Linked DNA regions of Nothobranchius furzeri. The protein of the gene in region 1 binds, or shares a complex with, the protein of each later gene. Links are inferred from orthologs where the notes say so. Each region holds a gene or a part of one and is shown in the gene's direction. Other genes may lie near its edges.

Region 1 (4,346 bases):
CTCGATTTACCGGTCGATCTACGTTCTTCACCAGTGGTCACGAGCTTTGGGTAGTGACCGAAAGAACGAGATCGTGGATATAAGCAGCCAAAATGAGTTTTCTCCGCAGGGTGGCTGGTTAAAAGCTCAGTCATCTGGGTGGGGTTCGGAGTAGACCCGCTGCTCCTCCACATGAAGAGGAGCTAGTTGAGGTGGCTCGGGCATCTGGTCAGGATGCCTCCTGGACGACTCCCTGGTGAGGTTTTCTGGGCACGTCCAACTGGGAGGAGTCCTAAAGCAAGACCCAGGACACCCTGGAGGGACCATGTCTCTCACCTGGCCTGGAAACTCCTTGGGACTCCCGCGGAGGAGCTGGCCCAAGTAGCTGGGGAGAGGGAAGTCTGGGCCTCTCAGCTAAGGCTGGTGCCCCCGCAACCCGACTCTGGATAAGCGTTTGAAAATGGATGGATGGATGGACATTTTAAAGAAAACATGGAAAATGTATTAAAGGGTCAAACACTAATTCATTTAATTTTCGTTGAAAATAAAGTTGAGCAAAATGCATTTATGAAATAAAAATTATGAATCATTTATTCCTAATCAAAACCTGATTAACTTGTGTATCAGTTTTTGACTGATTGACTGACTGATTAACAGTAATTAAGTCATATTTAATATTATGATGTGCACTGATATCATCTATTTGTGTTTGACTGATATGTTTTCCCCCATGTGTAAAACAGCTGGGAGAAAAAAAACATCTGTTCTCTTCTGAGTGAAAATCATGTGTAAAACTGTGTTTATTTCACTATTGTACTCTGCTAAAACTTTTAAAACTGTAATATTTTTCTAAATAAAATTCATCCTTTTTGTTGCCTTATTTTAAATGTGTGCACCAAGGTCTAATAAATCATTAACTAGTAACATTTTACTAATGTAATCTTGAAAAAAAAATGAAAATGAACTTTAATTATAGCTTACACATTATTATTGCTTCTTACAACGTGACACCCTCGATTTATAAGATCAATGATTTTAGAGCTTTTTGTCATCAGTATTTGAATAATTATCTACTTCCGGTCCTCTTATTGATAAGTATGTTTTATATAAATATGTCCACGCTGATTTTTTTTTTAATCCAGAAGTGTCCAGTTCGGGGTGTCCTCCCAGTAAAGTGACGTGGCGTCCTTCCTCTGTCTTTATAAAACACGCGTCTCACGACCGGACTGAAAGTGCTGCACAGGAGCGAGAAGAGAGGCGCGCGTAAAAGCCAGGCACTGATTGATCCTTCCTTTCTAGTATCCCTCCGCTCACACACAAACGAAGAACTAAACTAAAATGTTGTAATTGTTCATGTTTCATCTCGTGGACACTTCCTGTTATTACTGAATTTGGTTGCACCTGCTGCTCGCTGGCACATCCGCCTCCTCTTCGCTGGAGCCGGTCTGAGCTGGAGAGTTCCCCCGCGTAACGCGTCATGGGACACTGGAGAACCACCGCAGCGCTCTGCTTGCACACCTGAAGCTTTTGTGGATTTATAGGACACGTTTTAAAAGACAACCAACATTATTTTTAAATGAACTCACACTGAAGGGAGACTTTGGTTTTACCGGAACTTAAAAAACAAAAACAAAAACAAAAACAAAAAAAAACTGATAGGAATTTTATCTCAACACTTTGACCTCGGTTAGGATTTTGGTGAAGTTGGCAGAATGACCTCGTTCATCTGCTTCATGATGATCGTCTCCTGCTGCTCTACATTCACAGCTGGTAAGAAATCAATTAGACCTTTTATTTGTGAATTTTTATTGGTACGCATGTCTGAAAATGACACAGTTGAATGAAATCGTCTCAGTGAATGAATTACCTCATACTTTTGTTGTAGTCAGAATTTTTTTTTTATTCTGAAGATAATATTGATTCTTCGGTTTGTAACTGATGCCTGAAGGTTTTTATATTGTTTGAACGTCCTGGACCTGCGGCTCTCACACACACCACTAGAGGTTGTCGTGTCTCTTTGAAGTTATTCTTAAAAAAAAAACTCAATGTATATAAAACTAAAACTTAATAAAAATTCTGATTCGTCTTGGTTTTGACTTTGATCTGATCAGGTTTTCCTCGGGTTTCTTCAAATTAAGTATTTATTGCTGTTTCTTTTAATAGATGACATGTTTATTCCAGCAATTGTTGGAAGATAAAACACTGGAGGAAAAATGCTTCATCTGACAGGAGAATCACCCTCATTGTTCCCGTGTTCAAGTCCAGCAAAACAAAGCAGAGAGTAGAAAACATAGATGTTCCTCCACCTTGTGCCAGGTCCACTGTACCACTGAGATACACACCGTAGCTTCCTCACTGCTTCCAAATAAACAGCCCATCCAAACAAAGGAAAGACTGTTCACATTCCACACACACACACACACACACACACACACACACACACACACACACACACACTTAGAGTGTATGAAGCTTTGTTTGCAGTGTTTTTAAGCAGATTTCCTTCACTGTCCACGCACAAAGCGTGGGAAAGACGCCCAGAGGAAGCGGATGCAAGGACAAGAAGCAGCCTGGAATTGTTCTGGCCAGTAGAGGTCACGGAAATGTGACACGCTACCTGAGCAAAGATTTCTTCCCGAAGCTTCTTGAGCTGATTTGCACTTATCTCAAACCTCACACACCAGACAATAGCAAGGAGGAAAGTGGGGCATTGTGTCTGCAAATAAACCTCTGACTGCTAGAGCCATTAGTTATCTTATGACGGGTTAGCTGGTAGTGCTGATATGTGTAGCAGGTTTGGAAAAAAACCCACAGATATGTAAAAAAGAAAATGATTAAATAAAATAGCTTCTTAAGGAACTAATTAATGAGACAAAGCAGAAAAACCTCATTTAAAGGATAACCTTATGTAGAACAGGTCAAGTGTGCATGTCTGTGACCTTTTGACACCAAATCAAACAAATCAGAATGACTCCAGAAGTTTATTGCAGCATGTTTGATGTGATGAAGTTCTTCAAGTGAATTTACTGGTTGTAAACTGGTCAAATTAAAGAGATGGGTTTGTCTCTGATATGTTTAATATTGTGATATTCAAGTGAGAATTTGGAAAACGAAGATTTCCTTCTACTTTGCGTGGTAGGGTTGATCCTTTAAAACTGCGGTTCTTAAACGTTTCTCCACGCGGACCCCCTTGCTTGTGTTCAAGACGGGCCAGGGCCTCCCCAGCCACAACTCTTACCCACATTAAAAGTGATTCATGACAAACTTTAAACAGACATACACAGTTATAACTCTTATACAGAGTCTTAATTGTACTATTGACTGTGTTATTGCTATTTTATTAATATAATTTTTACAAAAATAATTTTTATAACCATGCAACCTCAGTAAAGGCAATCTTGCGGTGGTGACCTCTTTGGGGGGTCAAGGACTAAGTTGGGAACCACTAATTTAAAATACTGTCAAGGTCATTTTGAAAGTCTTTGATTTAGAACAGGTGGATGCTGGGTTTCTTTTATGCTTTGAAAAGTTTATTTTTCCTCTTTGGACACTTGAGAAATGCTGTAAAACTGGAGTGATGGGCTCAGCCAAATGCGGTGGGAGACTCTTATCTCGCTGGTTTTATGCTTGAGTCCTACAGGCAGCCCCGAACAAAAAACAAATCAGTCTCATTAAGTATAAGATTTTGTAGTTTTTTCCATCCTTTTAAGATCATTGCAGCATATGATCCAAATATCTGGATGCAGCCGTATGATTTCTTTAAATCCTGCATGAGATTTCAATTTCAAGGAGCTTCTGTCTGCCTGAGCATCCTAATTAAACATTATGGAAAGGGAATTTACTGGATTTTGGTACTTTCATGCAGGAGATTCCTGTTTGTTGGCTCTGCTTGACTTTATATAACCTTGCATGGCCACCCATCATGGCCAGATGTTCATTTCATTTGCTTTTTTAAGAGGAGTCTGGGGCATTTTGCCTTTCAAACCTCCAAAGGCTAATATAGGGCTGGTAAAAAAGGTGCTCTCTACAACTGTTGTCTTAACCTTGCAGTTGCCAAAGAGAAGAGGTCCTGCAGGAAGCATCCAGAGCAGTGCTGACTGATTCCTATTATGGCAGGTGGTAGCCAGTTGTCTGTACTTAGCTTTGTTTTCAGATAACAAAGAGAAAGTTGTTTGTTTCATATACGACTCTAGTCTGGGTAGCTGCTGCACTTTGCTGGTAATTTGCGAGTGCTTCCCATCTTTCACTGCAGTCACACAATGCAGACAATGACTCATGCACATTTTCAGCAAACTTTCCACATTTTCAGCCTTTTGTTGTGATACAAATGCAGCAGATCAGTTGTTAGGATTCGACAAGGGAACAAT
Region 2 (3,837 bases), about 3.7 Mb from region 1:
ATGCAATATACTTTTTATGACAGGATAAAAGTCTATAATATGACATTTGCAGAAACCACAATAAATGTTGTTTTGATTTGTTTTGTTTTGTGGTGTGGACAAGAAATGGTTAAGATGGCAGTGTTAAAGGTGTGGTTGACTGAAAATGTTAATTCTCATTATGATCAGTCACTCTGAGTTTTTCATTCAGGCTGAACATTAAAACAGACTCCTATACCTATCTCCTGCATTAGCTTCTGATAGAAAATAGATGGTGAAACTATAGGATTAGAAAAGCCTGACAGATCTACATCACACTGTGAATTTACAGAATTCATGGACTCAACAATCTTGACTCAGGACTGGAACGTGTTGTTATTTTAGCGTCTGGGAATCAGCAGCAGACATCTTGGCTAGTTTAAGCTAACCATTATCATTAGCAACACCAACACATAGCAGGAGCTCCTCCAGGCTTGAGTTATTTGTGGAGCTAAGCCATCCTAGTGGCAAGTCAGTGGTAGAGTAGTGTTGCTGTTATCCAGTCTGTTGTGAGATGTCCAGTTATCAAGATAAAAGTCTCCAAAACCTCAGCTGAAGCTCAGCTGTGATGTGGGCAACTTTTAGGTCCAAGAAATGGTGTACATTTCTTTCCCGTTGAGAACGACTTACAAGGCATTCAATGCTACTATAAGACCACTGCAAATGTATTGATTAAACGAGTGATCCACTTCTTTAACAAAAACGGTTCACAAAATATAATGTGGTTAGTTTTTTAGGGGTGGGACTCAAAAATTAATCCAATTAATCAGAGGTATTGTAAAGAATTAATCTGGGTTAATCATATATTATTCATCCAAGAAAATGTACCTTCAAACAATTTTTTATTAAAAAATTAAAGATTTCTCATTGAATGGAGGCTTTTCTATATTTTTGACACAACCTTGTCCTTCTCAAAAGATAGGTTTAATCTCAGCTATCCTAACGTTCTGCGATAAATATTCAGGTGTTCTTTATAAAGTATAATTTCTCCATCAGCAATCTTTTTTGCAAGAAACCAGGAGGGTGGAGGTAAAATAAATCACACAGCGCTTGTTGTGAAAACCCAGATTTGAACCACATGTAAAACAGTTTTTCACTTAATTTATTATAAAGTTTTGTGGTTCGGTTTTCTTTTTAATCCCACGTGAGACTATTTAATTCACTCTTTAATGTATTATTCTCTCATTACGTCCCACTGTTAGTTGGAATGAAGCACCAAAACAACTCTCCCCTTTTTTCACTGGCTCATACAGCCATACCTTGGCTTGAGTCTCCATTTGGTTTCTGCCAGCTTCAGCAGAGTCATTATTTATCAGACTTTTCACATTTTAGTTCTGATTCATCATCTATTTGTATTAAAGTATGTAAATTTTCATTAACATTTAGGTTAAAATCAGATAAAGTTATAATATAAAGTAAGGATACTTTAAGGATATTTTCTGATGGCCCCTTTTCTTCTTAACTCTAACACACAAAACTCACTGGGAAATCTGCCAGCTGTGATTTTTACTCATCTATTGAAATCTATTCTTATTCATTTTGATTCTTATGTTAAAATCTCCTGACACCAGTTCTCAACTCTCTTTTTGTTCAACAAAATCAGCCAAACATCTAAATGCATGGTCAAGTTGCTTAACTAAAGCAAAATGACTGGAAAGGAATCCTTTAAATCCATATTTGTGACATAAAAGAATAAATAAACAATAGAAAACCATCAGAATGATGTGCTGCCTTTAGATTTAAATGAATTCTGGGATGCATTCAGCACCCGCTGGTTGCTGGGATTTAGGTCTGAATGCTCTTTTTTGCGACAGATGTCAAATCTGATGCAAGACATTGGATGTGAACTTCTGACCACATGTGTCAACATCTTGTCTGTTCTCAGGCCCTACCTAAAGCCAGCGAGAAAGGAGAAGAAAAAGCAGGGCAGGAAGCACAGACAGAGGAAAACTGTAACAGTCAGACCCCCGTAAGTTAAATGTTACATTCTCAACACATATGTCAGAGTTTTAGCAGATCCTCTCAGGCTCAGTGAGACCGTTGTGATTAGGAAAACTGGGTTATCTGATCTGCAGTTTAACTGAAGGACAATTTGTATTACAGCCACAGCAACAGTCAAGGTCACACACACACACACACACACACACACACACACACACACACACACACACACACACACACACACACACACACACACACACACACACACACACACGCACGCACACACACACACACACACACACCATAATCCACTCTTAAACTCCTTAGTCACGGTTATCACCTCAGTGTTGAGCCTGTTGAATAGTACTTGCTATCATCAGCCGTCTGACTTCCTGTCATGTGATGATATGATTCTCACTACATTTGTGTGAAAACATGGTCACTTGCACCCTCACGTCCTGAGCCGAGAAGGATAAAAGGGTTAGCGCTCTTTTCCTCTCCAGTGTTCTTCATCTGCTTCCCCTTCACTTTACTGTCAGTCATTTCCGGCCCCCAGGGGCCAGAGGTTGGCTCCGTTTGGGTGTGATGTCCCTCCGTACCCATCCATCACCCCAAAAAGGCTTCATTCAAACTCTGGCAGGGGTGAAATCTGTGTAATTTGCTCCCAAACGCCACCTCCTCTTTCCATGCCAGCGACAGGCGTGGTCACTGAGACGGGAACAAAGATGGCCCCTCTCTGCCTCATTAAGTAACTTCATTAACACTGTCAGCCTCCCAGGAAGACAGAGGCAGAACTAGCTCCGGTTAATGGACCGACTGATGCTGGCCACTTTCTCAGACTCAGACCTCAGAGGGCGTCTAGAGGTGGAACTGAAGGTCTCAAAGGCAGCAAGGCGAACATATAGCCATGGTAACAGACGGAGAGACAGACGGACAGAGAGGGGAGCTAGTTAGTCAGCAGCTAAAGGAACATTATCCCACATTCGTCACACATCTCCCACACACGGCTTTGTTGGGGTTTGTCTCAGACAGGCAGTGTTCGTGTTCAAACAAGCCCTACATTTTATTTATAGCCGCTCAGGAGGTGCATCACGTTTGTCCAGACAGAAATATCTCAACTGTTATTTAACTGATTGTTGCATTTATGGATACCAAAGCTCTGCATGAATGAAATCAACTGTCCATGACAGTCTTGCGCCTCTTGTGATAAAGTAAAACTGAAAGAATCCATCAGTTTGTCATCATTCAGATCCACCATCAGGCCAGTCTTTGGTGCGACCTGATCGTGGATTAGAACCCACAATCTCCCAGTCTCAGGGCTCATACCACTAAGCCACTGAGCTGGTTTAGTCATGTTATCCAGTGAGTAAATCAATTCTGAAACTAAATACTTGTTTTTGGTTCTTTTCCATCCAGAACCTATGCTCCTCTGACTTCTCCCTCTTCCCCTCCACTGACCCCTCCCACCACCCTCCCTCCCTCACCGTCATCCCCACTGCCTCCCACCACCCTTCCTCCCCCGCTCCCACCCTCAACAACTCCTCCTTGCCACCCCTGCAAAGGAAGGAACTGGGTCCTGGATGTGACGCTGTGTCAGTGCAGGTGCACCCTCAGAGCTGGGAGCTGCAGCCGGAAAGGCCGGAGTCTCAACCCTCGCCGCTGCAAGTCAGTTCACACAAAGGCAACAAATGAAATTGCACTTTTATTAGAAAAACACAGAAATACAGAGATTAATACAAATACAAGGACAAAAGACATTAAATCAGAGCGTTTGAAGCGGTTGGGTTGTTGCCTAAACTTTTACTTGTAGAAAAATGCACTTAGTAAAGCATTCTGAGCTTTTGATAATTTCACAACTCTTCTTTTAATTAAAGAACC

The links.
Region 2: the proteins of kdrl (region 1) and vegfba are in contact, whole or in part, in a crystal structure (PDB 2XAC), measured with the Homo sapiens proteins. The link is inferred for Nothobranchius furzeri from reciprocal best matches to the Homo sapiens genes FLT1 and VEGFB. Residues at the interface, in NP_002010.2 of Homo sapiens: Tyr139, Glu141, Pro143, Phe172, Pro173, Tyr199, Ile202, Gly203, Leu204, Asn219, Leu221, Arg224, Thr226; in NP_003368.1 of Homo sapiens: Ser37, Trp38, Ile39, Tyr42, Thr43, Thr46, Cys47, Gln48, Pro83, Asp84, Asp85, Gly86, Leu87, Cys124, Arg125, Pro126.

The regions. Positions count from the first base shown.
Region 1 is NC_091741.1:84,303,231-84,307,576, forward strand, and holds the start of kdrl (vascular endothelial growth factor receptor kdr-like), read left to right. Parts: upstream 1-1,477; 5' UTR 1,478-1,691; coding exon 1,692-1,749; intron 1,750-4,346. UniProt on the Homo sapiens protein: Tyrosine-protein kinase that acts as a cell-surface receptor for VEGFA, VEGFB and PGF, and plays an essential role in the development of embryonic vasculature, the regulation of angiogenesis, cell survival, cell migration, macrophage function, chemotaxis, and cancer cell invasion.
Region 2 is NC_091741.1:87,957,835-87,961,671, forward strand, and holds part of vegfba (vascular endothelial growth factor A), read left to right. Parts: intron 1-1,903; coding exon 1,904-1,987; intron 1,988-3,375; coding exon 3,376-3,624; intron 3,625-3,837. UniProt on the Homo sapiens protein: Growth factor for endothelial cells. VEGF-B167 binds heparin and neuropilin-1 whereas the binding to neuropilin-1 of VEGF-B186 is regulated by proteolysis.